Mytilus edulis: one gene and its partner. The protein of the gene in region 2 purifies or fractionates together with the protein of the main gene of each other region. This does not show direct contact. Links are inferred from orthologs where the notes say so. Each region holds a gene or a part of one and is shown on either strand. Other genes may lie near its edges.

Region 1 (9,667 bases), on a different chromosome or scaffold from region 2:
CTTAATTTGCAAAAAACTGAAGGCTATATTATCTGATGTCAACCATCATAAATGTGTACTGTATATCTATCTCACCATCCCTTCATAATTAACATAAATATTGTTGTTTTTATTGGAAACAAATATCAGTACAAGCACTTATGATGTTACCAAGGGAAGTCAAGATGCATGATGATTAAAAATTTATTTTTACTTTTTCATAATTTCAAAACTTTAAAAGAAATTCCAAACTACATGTCAAAGTTTACTTTTCATCAAAAATATTTATAAGTTTTTCAGTAATTTTACATCTAAATGTCTCTATAGGGAGTTTTGTTGTATTCTCATTTAAACAATTAACCAATCTTAAAACAATAAATTTAAATAATAGATTTTATATGTCCATACCAATTGTTTGCCTCCAGGAAATTACTTATTTATAAATGTTCCTGCAAAAGTGTAGGCTGAGAAATTAACATATAGATGTTAATGTACTCTCGATCTTTTCTGGCTGATGTGTTCTCGAAAATCCCACATTTGTGATTTTAAAGTAAATATATATATTGGTGTTATCAGTCATGAACACATTAACATTTCTATTGGTCAACTATTTTTCTACATTTGTCATAAAGAGAAGCTGATCAAGTTCAAACTATTACCTTTAAAGATGTAGTCTGACTGAAAAAGTTTATATCCTCATTTTTGTAAGATCCTTGCACTCTCTATACAGCAATTTAAATAATCTAAATTTGGTAATATAATCATGATTTGAGTATCAACAGATGTTTTTCTTCAATTAAGAAATCAAAAGACCCAAAGGTATGTGTCAAATCTAATAACAACAAAGGAACAGGTATGAATTTCACCCATTTATTGTAGTTAATTGAGATAAAACAATTACAAGGGCTATCAGATTAGGTAATTAAACCACCAACAGAAGGTCAATGAGTTCAAAGCTGTTTGGATTGGTTTATTTAATATGCTTCCCACCAACATAAAAAGATCATTTTACAACAAAAATGTCATTATTGTGATTTATTATAAATCTAAAGTACAGTGAATATGAAAATTTTAAATTTCTGTAATAAATCAATAAAATTATGACTTAAGAAAATGCCTGTATATATATATATTCAAACATATATGTCACATATGATACAATTAGAAAAGTGCTCATTTAGAGATTCAAGTACAAATATGACATTTTTGTTCCTTTGATATTTGCAGATTTCTAAAAATATGAAATTACCAAAGCAAGCAATTGCCAGTCTAAAATTTGTACATCATAAAACACAAACATTAAAATTTCAATTGACACACATGTTGAATTTTATGTACAAATGTACATGTTTTATACCTGTACAATTTCCAAATTCAGATTTGTTTATGAAGAGAAAGCACTTTGTCTATTACTTTTTATTTAGCCCTGTACGTATATACATGTTTTTTCTTTAATTTGAACAACTTATCAAGCACTGTCAAGACTGTTCATTTCTTATGGTGTGTTGCTAAATTTTAATTTGTTGACAACTCTGGGAAAAGTTTACACTATTCTTTAAAACATAGAAAAATTAGTAGATCTCAAATTTCATTTACAAAGTTATACATTATAAAACAATACTATCATAATATCTAAAAAAAAAAAAAAATTAATTATGAAAACTTAAAGACACTTTTCAACTTTTTTTTTACAAATATATACATGCATTAAATCTAAAAAAAAATTAAGGAGCCAAAATCGGTAATACATGTACCTCACTCCTTAAAGTGAGCACTGAATGTATGAATTATATTTTGTACATATCAAAAAGAAGTACACACTGTTCTCACAAAAACATGATTTATCGATACACTTGAACAGGGCTACACAGTATTGTTTTTCCTTGATGAAACAAAACCTCCCAATTTTGCATTTATATCTTCAACTTCCCAATTAATTTGAGCCAAAATTTTATATAGACAAAAACATGATGGGGTTAGTCTTAATATTATGTTTCAGATCCTAAGCAGCTTAATATGTCAACAAGCAATCATACCACATCTTCTTTTTTATAGTTGATACTTTCCAACGTATTATACTTATAAATATAACATTAACTTTGACATGTATGGTCACTGCTGTTACTGGTATATATGTATAAAGTAAATAACAAAGACAACAGTCATCAAGTTACAATAGATGACTGCACATTTCATTTATGATACATCTTTATGCAGATAAAAGTATGTTTAACAACATTTGTTCTGATTATCAAATTAAACCTGGAGTCGTTCATCTGGCACCTAGTGTGTATTAATAATATTGACTTAATCCAAGAAACAGATAAGTACAACTGTATGTACAGTTGTACTTAACCTTTAAGAACTCTTTCAGGGGTCAAAATGATCTCTAAATTGTATTAATTTAGGGGCTCAGAGCTTACCACAACAGAGAGTGGGATTACTACCCTAATTTTCAACTCCATTCTTGAAATTTTGTTTAAAAAAGTCTCTGTCCCCTTGATTTGCAGTTAAATACCTCATGATTATTTAATTTGATCCAAGTTTGATACATTTAGAGATAATATTGTTGCATTAATTACAGTCATAGTGGGTACTACTGATGGCACTTCCAGTCTTCACACTGAATGGCAGCCCAGGCTTGTAAAATTTCTCTCGGGCCTGTTAAAATCATATCTACAGGCCAATAGAATCTAATTAATTTTTTTCAAAAATTGAGCTCCGGGCCTCTAGATTTAACAGTTCATCGTGAAGACTGCACTTCAGGTGACAGAAGTCAAAATTTGATCATTTGAATTTTAATTTTTCATAAATGAAAAAAAAAAATCTATAAGAGGGGAGAAAGATATATATCAGAGGGACTATACCGTACCGTATGGGGTTTAAACTAAGGTTGGTCATGTAAATTATTTACTGAAACCCTCATACACTTTTAAATGGCCTTGTAAATCATTTCTGATATACATGTATGTTTACATGGCAATATTATTTCGACATGTTGTTGAATTTGCAAAACATAACAAAATAAATATTGTAATATGGGAATACTTATTTTTACCAGCTTTATTATAAAACTTAATTGAAGCAGATGTAAATGTTGTGGTGGTCAGAGAGAAGGGGTACATGTTTTTAGAAAATACTGTACATGCATGTACACCAATAACTGAGGGTCGTAATAAGGGTACCTTCATGACGAATAACAGTAAAAAATCTTGCAAAATGACGTTAACAGTTATTTTTGGTGAATGACGATAAAATGTAGACTTTCTTTCAGATGATAAAAACATTGACTGATATTGACGAATCAGATTATTTTTTTTTCAAAATTAACGGTAACGATAATCATTTGAGACGAATAATGAATCACTGTAAATTTTAAACCAATATGACGATAAACAGGTGCCAAAAATGACTTGACACTTGACGTCAAAGGGCATTACTACCCTCATAACTGCTTCATAAATGCATCTGAAAAATTATGTGGTATATATACATTTGTACATGTACTATTTATCTATTACTCAGCAACAAGCAGGACGATGTCGATGCTATAAACTACTTAATACGAGGGTGTTTTAATACATAGATATTTCTTTGTGTAGGATATACAGGAATAAAGACTAAAACGACCGCGAATAATATTAAGAATTATGTACAATTGAAATGTTGTTCGACTACCGGAGTACCGCCGGTGGTGAATCACTTGAGATTCCTTGTAAGCTGAGGAGCTTCAAACTTTACTTACCAAAACTTCTACATAAATCTGTGACAATTAATGGAAACCTTAATCCACAATCCCATTTGCCTTAATGTCAAAGCATTGGATATTTCAATTCAAAATTTCGCTTTGTTTTCTAATGAACTATTCAAATTTCAGGAGACCATTTTGCTTTTGAATTTGCTATTGTGTAACCCACCCGCCAAAACTTGGAACAAAATAAAACGTATTCGTTAGAAAATAACTCCAAAAAAAAGTAACCACCTGTAAAACAACTAAACGAGAAAATTATAGTGCAGCAAAAGGATGAATAAAATTAAAGAATGAACTGAAAATGTGAAATAATGATTTAAATATGTGTGGGAGGTCAACAGAAGAGCTACATATCCGGTTAAATGGGACTTCCGGTGCATCTTTAAGCTGTCTGTGTACACCAAGGGCTACAAGTTTTTAGCTGTTTAGAGAAGGCCGAACAGAATATCCAGACATCAAAGTTAAAGGTATTAAAAGAATTTAATGAGAAGAAATAAAAATCGATCTATTTAAGCGTTGTCACATAGTCATAGTCATAAAATGTCCACCTGAATATAGGAAAAGGGGGGGGGGGGGGGATTTTGGTTTGTAAACCCCCCCATTGACAGAAACAAGTGCATGTGGGTTGAGGGGAAGACACCATCACCATTGTTCTCTCTGGACGACATGATTAAATTTTATATCAAAACGATATATGTCATACATCAGAGCAACAACCTTTTAAAATAAATTTATTACTAAGAATATTATAGACCAACAAGTCTGTTACAACAAACGAGCATTCATAGTTCCAAATAGCCAGACTGAATAGTTCAAAAACTCCACATTTGTACCCGGAGGACACATTAGTGTGTGTCACTTTAACTGAGGAGTTTCAAACAGCACTACTCAGCAAGCACGATTAAATCGTGCGCACAACAGCCCATCACACAATAGCTGGAAGGAATCTGTGATGCACTTAACCATATACAGAGGTGGAAAATACAGATGCATAGTGTACAAACTAATGATAAACTGACATTACAATACAACACATGCAATAAGTTACAACCCTTCATGAACTTCTTCCTTTGTATATCTGTATTCAAAAAAGGATAATGACATTGAAACAAGAAGTTATGCATAAAACTTTTCAAGGAGTCTGGAGAAAAGTCTAAACCTTTGTAAACAGGTCAAACAAAGAATTTGTATTACTTTTGATTTGTGTTTTAAAAAAAAGTTGATCATAATCTATTAAAGTTTCAAAATATTTGCTTTCTAAACTACATGTATGCTTTCCTTTAAAAGCTCATTACTGGTGACCTTTGTTTTTGAAACACTTGACCCAAATATAAAGTTGTTGAAGACTGAAATGACTGTTTTTTTCCCCAGATTGGACTAAATAGCAATACAAATAAAGTACCGCAAGCAATACTGGTGTCATCACCTTGTTTATAATAATTATGTCCTTAGCTTCCAGTGATCGGGAAGGACGTGCGCCCTGCGCCTATAGCGCATATTGACCAGAAATGGCGCATAGAGTGACAAATGTAAGGGCCCACGTGGCGCACAATATTTTTCACATCGTTTCGAAAAGTTTAGATATCGTCAAATGGATTTCATATCGTTTTCCGTGCCGCCATGTGTGTGTTTACAACTGTATAATGTTCCTCCAATCATTGGAGCACCAATATATTTTTGGGACGTCCCGGGTGTTTTCCTATGGTAATAGAACCATGCGGTTTTAAGTCTCGGGTGTTTTTCTATGGTAATAATAGAACCATGCGGTCTAAATGATAACCCAAAAAACGTAATTAACCATCATTCATGATATAACTTTTTATAAACAACTTTAAATTTATGAAATTTGGCTATTACAGACGAGATGTAACTCTAATCTTTTAATTTAGTTTAGCTTGCTATTATTTCGATTGAAAAAAACCCAAGTCTTTTTATGAATATAGTTTTTGTCTCCATAAAAGGCGCTTAACTGTCCTTGTCATTTTTTTGGTCTTTGGCTCGTTTTGACATTTTGTAAACATGACCTCAGCAAATAATTGTTTTGTTCTAACAATAATGGTACTCTCTGCTGTTAATCTTGTCAACGTGATGAAGTAATAATAATAATACAAGAAGTGCCTGAAATGTTCTCTAATACGGAACGTCTGCAATAAGTATGGTATCGACGAAGACCCAAATTTAATGTTAAAAATAAACAACCATGAACATGAACAAGCCAAGGCAACAGTACCAGTTTAAACTTTGTAATTTACAGATTATCTTTAATATTGTCTGTTTTGGAAGAAGTTATTGTATATTCTATTTCATTGAAATTACCGAATCACAGGAACAATATCCATGATATTATTTAAAATAATCAAGGTAAGTACCAACACCTCTTTGCCAAAAAATAATGATAATTTTTATTTTTTTACAGAAGTCAATTCAAATGGCCCAACCATTTGACAACATGGCCCATTATCTTTAAAAATGGCCCATTGAATTTATTTTTGAGGGGCCCTGGGCCCATAGTGAAAAAAACCTTCCAGATCACTGAGCTTCTCATCCCAGTCAAAACAGAAAAAAAGTATTGTCCTATGCAGGATTTTTCTTTACTTTGAATGAATTTTGAATTATTTTCATTTTGTTGTTTTCAAAACAGTCGTACACCCACTTGAAGGATTTTTTGAATGTTTTTAATTGGACATGAATAAAGAGGGGTGAAAGATACCAGATGGACATTCAAAAACATGATTTAAAGGGATAAATGTAAGTGAGATAGTAACTCAAAATTAAATTAGAGTAAGCATCCTAACAATTTATTGTCTTTACCATACATACAAATTAAACCCTAAATGGATAGAAAATGGACATTTTGTTGTAAGACTTTATGTTTCAGTTAATATTATAATACTACATATATGACATAAGACTACAATACATAAGAGTCTAAAAAAAAAAAAAATTCAACAAAACTTTGGTACAGAATTATTTTATATAATTTATAAAAGGATAGGATTTACAGGCTTTATTTATAATTGAAATTATTCATGTTTTCTTTTTCACAGGAAAATGTCACCACCAGAGCCCAAAGAATTCCTACCTGGAGTACCAGATTGGAGCACAGTACATGAACCATCTGGAGATCTGTTTAAGCCTATTACAGTGAGTGTTAATGCAACTAATAATATTTTAATGATTATTGTCTTGTCACAAGTTGTGTACTATTATTTGTCTGTTTGTCTTTCTCATTTTTATCCATGGCATTGTCAGTTTATTTTCAATCTATGATTTTGAATGTCCCTCTGGTATCTTTCGCTCCTTTTCTATCTCTACCTGAATCCTGTTTATAAGATGTTTTCAAACATAAACCTAGTTTTAAAGATGGACAGCGATTAAAATTTATTCACACAATGTCATTTTCACATGAAATCAACAATGTAAGTCTTAGTTAACTTAACATATAAATTATGTGGGATATGCTCAGAATTATCCAAGATACTGGAACAACAGACATTTGTGCATGTGCTTGTTATGTTACAAATAAAGGATAAAACAGTCAGTCACTGCTAAATTGACAACAACATTTAGTGTTACTGAACACATTTGAAGTGTATAAAGTCTACAATTTAATTTCTTCTACTCTTTTGACAACCCTGCATACCATCAGTATCCATTTAAGGGGGCTCGCGGGTCTAAATCAATTTTTTTATTTAATATAGGATTTCGCTATATTTTTCTATAAAAGAACTTTATTCTATTCTTAATAGAAAAAATAAATAAAAAAATGGGGTCACCGTTCATTTACGCTCACAATCTGGCTTCGAAAGAAGCATACATTTTTGTTAATGTCCTTTTTTTCTGTTGAACTAATAGGAGAAAAAGCGGTAATATCGAAATAAAAAAAGAACTAAATTACAGAAATCGTTTAAATTTTACAATTATTTAGTTTATGTACAGCTAATTCGAAAACAACAATAAAAAATATAGGTCACCGATGAGTTAAAAAAGATATTTCAATTTAAATGCCAAAAAATGGCATTTTTGCACCAAAGGGAGATAATTTGGAGCTTTTTCAATGATATCTACAATTTAAATGTCACCTGGGACCAACACGAATTGAGTTTTTGGAATGATTTTTGTACCATATGATAAAGAAACAACTACTAAAGGTAATTAATAAAATTTGTAATGAAAAATAAATGTTAAATTTTTTTCTGAAAATTTTATATCCGCGAGCCTCCTTAAGAAATCTCTACCTTCACCAAACTTTAGAGGCATTGGTTCAGCAGTCCGCCATTTACTCTAAATGAAGTATGAGGTTTTTAGAAAGATTGAAATAAAAAAAAACTTACAAGAATAAGAATGGAAAGTTACAGAAGTTTAAAATACATATTTCTCTTTTCTTTGACTGCATACTATTTATTATATATACTAGTAATTTAATTACAAGAAAGAAAATTTTAAAACTTATGCTGACTGCTTTTTTCCCCAGGATAAAGACGATTGGAGTAAATTGATGTGGACAGAAGAACAAACTAATCAATTTTGGACAGATGGTGTAGTAACAAACATACCACTTCTATCAGAGGAACAATGCAATAGAATTATAAATGATTATAAATACTTCACAGTAAGTATGAAAGGTGTAATCAATTATTGCCTTATTTGGAGGTATTCAAGTAACAAATGAAAACATCAATGTAATTAATTACACAATCTTTTTCTGTCTAAGTAAATATGAATATTAACATAAGAAAGCAGAAATATATTTATGAATTTAAATACTCGAAACAAATAAAAACACTTTAACATATCACAAAATTTCTTGCACAGTAGATAATGTCATGAATGTAGTACCAACACATGTAGACAAAGAGAACTTGAAAGACACATTTTTAATGTTAAAAAAAACAATTTAATTTTATTAGATATTTGATTCAATATTATATGATTGAACAGGAACTTAGACTGGGTTTGTATTCATTTTATTACACAATTAAAAGATGTGTGTATATTGTAGGGTATCAGACATATCATATGTTTATTTCAGGGTGAAGTAGAGCATCCTGGAATGGATATGATGTATGAGTACCATTCTAACCAGAGTGGGGATCCTAACAATGTTCTCATACATTGTCTTGGACATTGGAGATTGACATCATTATTTCATGACTTGCCATTTCTTCCTCAAATTGTGGTGAGTGGTCATTTTTGGCAAACTCTGTTGTTATGCCAACAATATTTACTTGATTTATGCTACAGTTTTTAGCTTATAACATACAAAATTTCACCTAATCCTTAGATTTGTTTTAACTGAGCTAATTTTCCAGTCTTCTCATATAGTATATCATGTATAATTTACAAGGAAGGACAGTAATACTTGTAAATAAAAATTGAAAGAACTTAAAAGATTAAAAAAAGACAACAAAACAAACAATATTTATATATTCTAACTAAGGGCTATTCCAGAAAAAAATGTATGGGGGGGGGGGGGGGGGGGGGGGGGGTTGGAAGGCAGTTTTTGTCAGCACCTGCCACCCAGACAATTGTAATTGAGAATTATAGTGCATTATAGTGTGAAAAGTTGCTCTGATAGCCATCACCCATGTATTATATTAATAATGTGCCTTCCAACCCCCCCATACATTTTTTTCTGGAATAGCCCTAAGGGAATCTAACAAAATTTATATGGAGCTATACAGGTCATTTATAGATTTGAAATAGATTATTGGAGCAAGTAAGCAGTGTATGCAGCAAAGAGCCTTTTTTTTTTTAAATTTTTTAACATCTTATTGAACACATTTAAGGTGCCTGCGTCTCAGTTGTTAGTACCTGATAAACAAACAGCTGTGAGATTTTGGCATGATCAGTTATTTGCTAAGCCTGCTAAACATGGAGGTGTAGTTGCATGGTAACATTTTATTTGAAGTTTCCTCACCTGTTATACCTGTAGTA
Region 2 (9,465 bases):
AAAACGAATTGAATGTAGTAATGTAGATTTAATGTATACATCATAATAATATAAGTCAATAATAGTAACATAATAAATAATCAAGCACAAATAAATGTCTTTATCAATGAACAACAGATAATGAACATGTGATGCACATAGTTTTACTTAAAGTTCACTTGATATATAGCAGAGATGACAACTAATGGTTAAGTCTTATGTTCCAACCAACACCCCTGAGAAATTCTGCAATGGTCTTGTTGCCTGATGTCAAGTCTCTGCACAAGTTTTGAAGTCTTAGTTGAAGTTGGACATAACGTTGTTGGACCCGTTTAACTGGTGGGGTGCCTATGTAACAAAAAATTTGTTCCGGCGTGACATTTGTTCCATCAGAACAAATTTCATAGGAAATAAGTTCCACTGGAACTTATGTCACAGAAAATATGTTCCAGCACTATAAAATTTGTTCCGGAACTAATTTTTTAACCAAGTGTGAAATAGGTTCTGGAACAAAAATCACAGCACCATCAATTTTGTTCCAATATTAAAATTTAAAAAAAAAAGTGAAATAAGTTCTTGGGATATTAGTTTTAAACGTAGGTATTTTATAGAAATCAATGAAAATGTTCTGCTCAAACCTATTTCACAGAAAATAAGTTCTGTGCTTGCATGGGGTACATTTGCAATTGAAGGAATGACTTTAGCATGAAGATAAGAAATAAAAGCGATGATAATGTATCTATGTTTGATCGTTTATGTGGTATTCAACCTCCATGTTTCCTGATGATCTGTCATGGGTGTTCTAATCCTACATGTACTTAGCTATGGTCATTGCACAGTTTTTAAAGAGCGTGTATTTTGTTTCTTTATGTCTTTTAATATAATTGATCAGCCACTTTGTGCTTTTCAAAAAAGTACAAATATTCATCTTCAACTATAATACTTTTTTCGGAATGACTTTTATTATTATTTCTTATTCTACTCTTTCCTGGCTCATAAGTGCCATTTTTAGTATTATTACTTGAGCTGCCATGTTATTAAACTTTTGCTTTACTCCACATGATCCAATTGGATGCTTACACTTTTTATTTATTACATTATCAATATAATACATGTATTTTATAATGACAAGTGCTCAGTATATAGGAAAACTTGTTTAACCAGTGGAACATATTTCACAGACAAGGAACTTATTTCACCAGGTGAGGAACAAATTTCACAAATCAAGAACTTATTTCACCAGGTGAGGAACAAATCTCACAAACATGGAACTTATTTCACTAGGTAAGGAACAAATTTCACCAACCCAGAACTTATTTCACCAAGTAAAGTGTGGAACTTATTTCATAGAGATGGAACAAATTATATAGAAATTGTCTGTGAAAAAAGTTCTCCCAGAACATATTTCCTGTGAAATTAGTTCCACTGGAACTTTTTTCACAGGAACAAATTTTGGCTCACACCTACAGCGTCTTGTTGTATCAAGGTTCTCACTGTAGCTTCTTCTTTCTGGCACCATTCTACTACTCTCCATATTGATGGGTGGGCATAACCTACTAAGTTGAAGAATTTGTTGTTCCAACCTTCACATACATTGTTGGTTCTTGAATCACCGTTGACTGTTGCGTCATGGACATTCCATATAGTTGGTGGGAACATGGGTGGAGTGCGGCGCATTACTAAACGGAGACCTTGACCTGGTGCTGGGTTACGTCTCATGTTGCCACTTACATAGGTTGCATCAAAGTAATCAAGAAGTTCAGCTGCTTCTGGTGGGTCATCTGGACACAAAGTTCTTAGCAGGTGGACACCATTTGGCAAATCAGCTACAGGCAGAAAGGCAAGGCCGTCCATCATACCACAGAACAAGCGGAAGTCATCGCTAATCTTGTAGTGGGGAACCAAACCAAGGCTCTGTATCTTTCTCCAAGTTGCTTGTGTAAGATGATAGAAACATCCCTGGTTGTTGATATGGCGGCCAAATACTGCCGACACTGCACGTAGAACGCCATCTTCGAAGTCTGTTACCACAGTCTGAACATTTAACTGTAGGTGGCTGGCTTGGCATTTGTCGACCAATGACTGAAATAACTCTCTGTATGTATCTTGATTCTTGTTCGGCAAGAAAGCATACACTGTGGTGACTGTAACATCTTTAAAAGGTACTCGGATGGTGTACAGCTGTTTAAAAAGACGTCTTAAACTGTCAGGACTACAAAAGACCAACATTCTGTTCTCAGCATTCTGTCCATTGTCATACAGTAGGAACTGTTGGTGGTTGGTTGTAATAGTGAATTCTGCTGGCAGTGTGACATCTACAAAGCTCTGGGGAACAGGTGGTGTTGGACGCTGGTTGCGCATGGTGCGTTTACAATTCTCTTCTCTGGGCATCATTGCTTGCACATCATCTTCACATGTTGAAACAACCTGGGCGAAGATCTGGCTTGGTTTGTCTCTGGTGAGAGCAGCCTGCTCTTTCATTGCGTACCTGGACTTAGTGTACTTTATGCTAATATCACTTGGATCATGGTTGTGTGGCTGGCCAGGAGTTGGATTTTCATTCTGCAGAGAAGTTGTAATGGACCCTTTACATGCAGTGCTGGATCGCTTCACACATTTCCACCACTGTACTGTCTTTCTGGTAGTATGCTTTAATAGTGTACATGTACCCCTGGTAGCAAAGTTTGGAACCACCTTTGTTGCTCTTGATGACTTCCATACTTGATTTAATAACACTTGAAATTATTTTTTTCTTTTATAGAAAAGTAAATGAAGTCATACATTTTCTTTAATTTGAGTCAAAGTTAGAAAGTCTATGATATGGTTTGACCACATGTTATTGTGATTTTTGTTTTTCTATAGCTGTGTTTTTACCAATTTCATGAGAATCCTTCAATTACATGTTAAACAAACAAAGCATCCCCATTAACAATAATTATGTAATTACAACATTTATTGACAGTGACTGTTGAGATTAATTAGTGGCTTCTTGTGGCACCTTTCCCTTTTTTGCAGACCTTTCACTTCCTCTTTTGGAAGGAAGCCCTACCCATGAAAAACAACTAGGGCTTATCATGAATGAAAAGGAAACAAATGGCTTATCCTGTTTGTTTAAGAGTTTGGTTTTAAAAAGAGAACATAAATTATAATACACTTTTCATTTTTTTGGTGTATTTATTAAAAAAAAAAATGATGAAAAACATATATTTTTTTATTTTATTAACCCATAAATAAAACGAAATCTGTTAATATCGATGTGCGCTTTACCTATATAAATTTTAAAAGCTTTTATTTAAAAATAATTGATCTGATACACTTTTACTAGTAGTATTATTTTTATTTAACAAAACTACATTTTTTTAAATTATCTATTTCATACAGCTGATATACAAAATCACTTTTGTCATGTGCATTCCAACATACTTCTTATAAAACATTTTATATACTTCTTTCAAATAATTTTATAATTGTGACTTTTTTTCCTGTGACTTTTTTTCTTGAGACTTTTTTTCCTGTGACTTTTTTTCCTAGAGGTTTTGTGACTTTTTTTCCTGTGACTTTTTTTCCGTTGACCTTATCGCCAACCCCGGCTGACCCGGCCGCTTGAACTTTTGACGTCAACAACAATCACTTTTCCATTGTGGCATCGGATATCTTGTTTTATGAAGTCAAAATTTTACGTGAACCTGTGTGATATCCAGTAATGGCAGACAAATAGCGATAAGGTGTATATTAATGCAATACACGATAAGGTGTATATTAATGCAATACAATGAAATTATGTTATTTGTAAATTATATTTTTTTACCAGTAGTCTACTGGTTGTTTTTCTCGTACTGCAAAAGTGACAGTATTAACTAATACTCTGAAAATCTGAATTAAACATTATTGCGGGCACCTAGATCTTTCATGGTGTGCAACTGGCTTTAACTTACCCGAAGTCATCATCCACCGATTTGAAGAAAAATTTGTAATTTGGTCTGTTTAAAGCGTTCTTAAAATCACCAAGATTTACACGATCAGCGGGAATAGGTAGTTTGATTAAATAAGGAGTGTCTTCGTCATCTATATAATAGATGATTTTGGTCTCCTCCATCCCGAAGGAGGATGTCTGATGTTGTTAAATCCACAATGATTATCAAGTTTCTGTGGAAAATGGCGTCCAAATGTTTTCTTCTGTTCAGTGCCAAATTGAAACCCGTATGTCAATCAGTTAATTTTCGTTTCCGAAAATGAAAATTAAATATCTTAAACTTTCACATCACTTGATAAGAAAAAAATCGATAGTTTTATTAAAATCAAGAAATTATCCATTGGTAAATTGTAATGATTTTCTCTATTTTCGCATACAGAACTATTTCTTTTGACTTTTGCTTTGTTTCGGATTTAGTAATTGACATTCAAATGGTTCTCTTAAATTTCTCAAAAACAAGTGCCCGAAAAAAGCATCAGATAAAATATTGTACATTAAATAAATGAATATTAACAAAATATATAGAAATAGCCACAATTGCAAATGTCTAACAGATTATTAATCCAATGAATTTCATGAGACATGATGAATCATCCTTTTTATTCAACAAAACATGGCAAAATTTTGGTAAAATAAGAATAAAAAGTTTGAGATTAAGACAGATTCATTTTGAGACACTTGTTTCTTAATATTTTATTGGCATGTGACTAGATGAGAATTTTCTAAAGAAATATTTCTTTATTTTATTTTTTTTCAATTTTTATTTGTCAACATTTATTCACTGCGGATTTTCGAAGGAAGCACTTCCGCCAGCAACATATTCAGAATTTTCAGCATCACGATGTATTAAATCAACAAGTTGGTAATTTTGGGAGTCTGAAAAGCGCAGTTAAGATTGATATATCTGGCCCATTGTAAAAGTGTCAAGCCCTCTCGGTACCTGTGGTCCCAAATTTGAATTGTAAATGTTAAGGTCGACACGAACATGGCCAGACTTGGTGTAAGGAATGCGGAAACCACAACTTAAATTCATTACAACGTTTTATGACAACAACCAATCATTAGCGCCAGTTTAATCTATTTCTCTGTAAATTGACATCATGAAAGTCTGCATTTTTACAGTGTCCATTTTCAATGAAATCCATATAACATGATTGTGACTGTGACCCTTATGAACTAACATAAGTGTCCCTTTTCTAAATGGTTCATGAAGGATGTGTAAATATACATGTATTTGAAATTATGTTGAATGATACAGAAATTTGTTGGAAATACTTTGAGGTATAGTCTTTAAAAAATATCTCCAAGCTAAAAATAATTTGTTGCCAAATATATCCATGTACATTTTATAATTTAAGAGACCTGTTAAACACCACTTTAATTTCATAATCAATAAGCACTGATAAGTTCATGATACTGCTTCTATAGTAGATTGAATTAATGGGTAAAATATGGGAAATTTATATTGAAGTAATTTAGAAAAAAAATACTGCCAACTGGCAGACAAAATTTAAAATGCAGAACTAGAGTTGAAGGCAAAGGTATATCTCAAAATCTGAAATGATTGATTACTATTGAAAGACATTATAGTACATGTTGCAATGATGTACATGTTAAAGGGGCACTAGCTGTCAAATTCATGAACACCGATTTGATTCAAATTCTCATATTTGATTTATAACAATGTAAAACATTAATCGTGATTAATCCTAACTATCAAACGTCTAAAATAAACAGTTTACAGAGCATGGGGTAGATAATATATAGGTTCGTTTCGTTTGTTTTTTAGTCCAGACGCCATCCAATTAACTATCTATTTGACTTCAGATGACCATAAAAGCGATGTAAACATAAATAAAGATATGAATAGATTAAACCAACACGTGCAATTGGAGCTTTATAGGTCTGTTTGATTATATTTTATAGATTAAAAATAGATGTTTCTCATTGTTTTTAACAGTATAAGAATGATTTTATGTGCATCGATTAGTAATCAAATGTTTTACCGTAGTTTCACTTTCATTGTTGTCATTCCTTTTCTTTAAATAACCAGTACACGTACAATGCATGCGTTGTCTATCTCTAGCTAGGGGTTAAATTGAAGTTCACATGAATACGGGTTTTAAGAGGTTGACTCATTCACTTGCAAGTGAATAACTAATTATCAATGTTTCTTAGCGTAATTTGACAAAATTGAACCTTTTTGGCTGCAAAAGCGAATTGTTATTTCACTATTTCACTTTCATTATTGATTGAACAAAAAAAAAAATCAAATTTTAGATTTTGTATATATCTCGTAGCTAGTGCCCCTTTAATTTGCTAAAGATCCCAGAAACTGTTTCCACTTTCTTTACACACTGAATGGTGTATCATTCAGGATTTCCTGTTGGTGTATGGCATAAAAAATCCTGTTTACTGAACCCATATGGACTCCCTTAAAGGAGAATTAGCTGTCAAATTCGTCTTCACCGATTTATATGTTAATCATGGTTTTTACCTAAAGAAATTGTTTTTTAGCTCACCTTTCCAAAAGGAAATGTGAGCTTTTGCCATTACTTGGCGTCCGTTGTCGTTTGTCCGTCGTCGTCGTAAACTATTTCAAAGATCTTCTCCTCTGAAACTACTGAACCAATTCAAACCAAACTTCATCTGATTGATTCCTAGGGTATCTAGAATAAAGTTTGTGTTTTAATTCCCATTTCATCAAAAAACATGGCCGCCATCAGGGCTTTCCATTGAAATTGAAGTAGAAGGCTGAATTAAAATTATAGGCGGCTGTAACATGCGTTCGGCGAAGCCGGACGTCCACCAAGCTGTAAGCTTGGTGCCTTACGGCAGGGGGTCTGGGGGCCGCTCAAGGCCCCCAGAAGCTCTGCCATAAATAGAGCAAAATCCTGCATTCTCGCAATCTCCTGGCACCTAATTTCATCTTTCAAATGACCATTTTTTATGTATGAAATTAAAGAAAAAAAAAATCTCAAAGACTTTTTTTTTTTATGTTATAGTTTTTTATTTTCATTTATTTATGCTTAAAATTCATTTACTTTTAAAAGAGATTTATTTATATAATAATCCGGTTTGTTAAAAATCTTCATCGATTTATTTTGCAGAACTACGTGCATTTGTAAACAAATGACCCCCCTTTTCTCTCTAAAGACTGGTACGCGTAACTAAAATCATACAATTATTTTTCAAGCATTGACAGAAAATTGATATATCCTCTGATTTTCTCTTTTAAACTGTTCAATAAGTCGGATACATAAATTATTTGGAAATGTTATTTATTTGAGGTCGAGTCGACAATATTCTACTTTCGTTTTTGACCTTGATTCTCTGAACACCACGTGGGCCTTGAAAAATGAACTTCAAAAGATACTGTTTTCAAGATTCTGAACATTATGATCTACTACACTTTCTTTAATTTGACTGATATTATTCCATAACATAAGATTGTCATCCTATCTGATTGTCTTCACGTTTTAAAAGTAAAAAAGCCAACGAGTTATTGACCCTCGGAACGTCTCTATTGTTATCATTCAATGACCACCGGAACGTCTCTCTTGTTATCTTTGAAAAGAAACGATGCATTCTGACTTTAAACAGACAACCAATCAGTGACCTGAATTCATGTGAACTATATTTAGCCCAAGGTAAACACTGACTTTTCATCCTTGTTTATCGTGACCGCGACTTTGCGAAAATACGTCTCTCGGCTGCCTGTAAACATTTGAAAAAGATATTATTTTCTTTTTGAATTTATATTTTTGTCAGTGAAGTAGCCGGCACTTGAAGCCACCGCAAACGGCGGATTTCCGCCGGCTACCGGCTTCAATGGAAAGCCCTGCTGCCATGGCTAAAAATAGAACATAGGGGTAAAATGCAGTTTTTAGCTCATAACTCAAAAACCAAAGCATTTAGAGCAAATCTGACAAGGGGTAAAATTGTTTATCAGGTCAAGATCTATCTGCCCTGAAATTTTCAGATGAATCGGACAACCCGTTGTTAGGTTGCTGCCCCTGAATTGGTAATTTTAAGGAAATTTTGATGTTTTTATGCGCCCATCGTCTTTTAGACGGGACGTATTATGGTATACCGTTGTCCGTCTGTCCGTCCGTCCATCGTCCACACTACGGACAATAACTCAAAAACACTTTCACCAATTTCCATGAAATTTAAGTGAATTGTTGATATCTATTGACGTAAGCTCCCTTTCGTTTTTTTTTAATTTCAGGTTATAATTTTTGGATTTATGGGGCTTTATTTATAAAAAAGGGGGGATTTTCAACACTTCGGACAATAACTCAAAAAGGCTTTCACCAATGTCCATGAAACTTTGGTGAATTGTTTATAATTATTGATGTAAGCTCCCTTTCAATTTTTATAAATTTCAGATTTTAAGTTTTGCATTTATGGAGCTTTATTCATAAAAAAGGGGGATTTTCAACACTTCGGACAATAACTCAAAAAGGCTTTCACCAATGTCCATGAAACTTTGGTGAATTGTTTATATCTATTGATGTAAGCTCCCTTTCAATTTTTATAAATTTCAGATTTTAAGTTTTGGATTTATGGGGCTTTATTCATAAAAAAAGGGGGATTTTCAACACTTCGGACAATAACTCAAAAAGGCTTTCACCAATGTCCATGAAACTTTGGTGAATTGCTTATATCTATTGATGTAAGCTCCCTTTCAATTTTTATAAATTTCAGATTTTAAGTTTTGGATTTATGGGGCTTTATTCATAAAAAAAGGGGGATTTTCAACACTTTGGACAATAACTCAAAAAGGCTTTCACCAATGTCCATGAAACTTTGGTGAATTGTTTATATCTATTGATGTAAGCTCCCTTTCAATTTTTATAAATTTCAGATTTTAAGTTTTGGATTTATGGGGCTTTATTCATTAAAAAAAGGGGGATTTTCAACACTTTGGACAATAACTCAAAAAGGCTTTCACCAATGTCCATGAAACTTTGGTGAATTGTTTATATCTATTGATGTAGGCTCTCTTTCAATTTTTTTTAAATTTCAGATTTTACATTTCCGTGTTATGAATTTTTATGCTAAAAAAAGGGGGGATTTTCCAATTTTGGGACAATAACTAACACTTTCACAAAATTTTATGCAACTTTGATAAATTGTTTATATCTATTGACATAAGCTGCCTTTCCATTTTTATAAATTTTAGATTTTATGTTTTCTTAAGTAATGAATTTTTATGCCCCACATACGATAGTAGAGGGGCATTATGTTTTCTGGTCTGTTCGTCCGTGCGTCCGTTCGTTCGTCCGTCTGTTCGTCCGTCCATCTGTCCCGCTCCAGGTTAAAGTTTTTGGTCAAGGTAGTTTTTGATGAAGTTGAAGTCCAATTGACTTCAAACTTTGTACACATGTTCCCTATGATATGATCTTTCTAATTTTAATGCCAAATTAGAGTTTTTATCCCAATTTCACGGTCCACTGAACATGTAAAATGATAGTGCGAGTGGGGCATTTGTGTACTGAGGACACATT

What was found.
Region 1: the proteins of segment polarity protein dishevelled homolog DVL-3-like (region 2) and vang-like protein 2-B purify together in Drosophila melanogaster (affinity purification with western blotting; 3 studies listed by BioGRID). This does not show direct contact. The link is inferred for Mytilus edulis from reciprocal best matches to the Drosophila melanogaster genes dsh and Vang.

What each region holds. Positions count from the first base shown.
Region 1 is NC_092348.1:7,027,967-7,037,633, reverse strand, and holds the start of vang-like protein 2-B, read right to left. Parts: upstream 4,070-9,667; 5' UTR 3,725-4,069; intron 1-3,724. Other genes in the region: uncharacterized protein, read left to right, coding at 6,782-6,874, 8,205-8,342, 8,763-8,909, 9,520-9,623.
Region 2 is NC_092356.1:40,905,569-40,915,033, reverse strand, and holds the start of segment polarity protein dishevelled homolog DVL-3-like, read right to left. Parts: upstream 4,182-9,465; 5' UTR 4,076-4,181; coding exon 3,915-4,075; intron 2,461-3,914; coding exon of another isoform or gene 1,417-2,460; intron 1-1,416. Other genes in the region: uncharacterized protein, read right to left, coding at 1,417-2,460.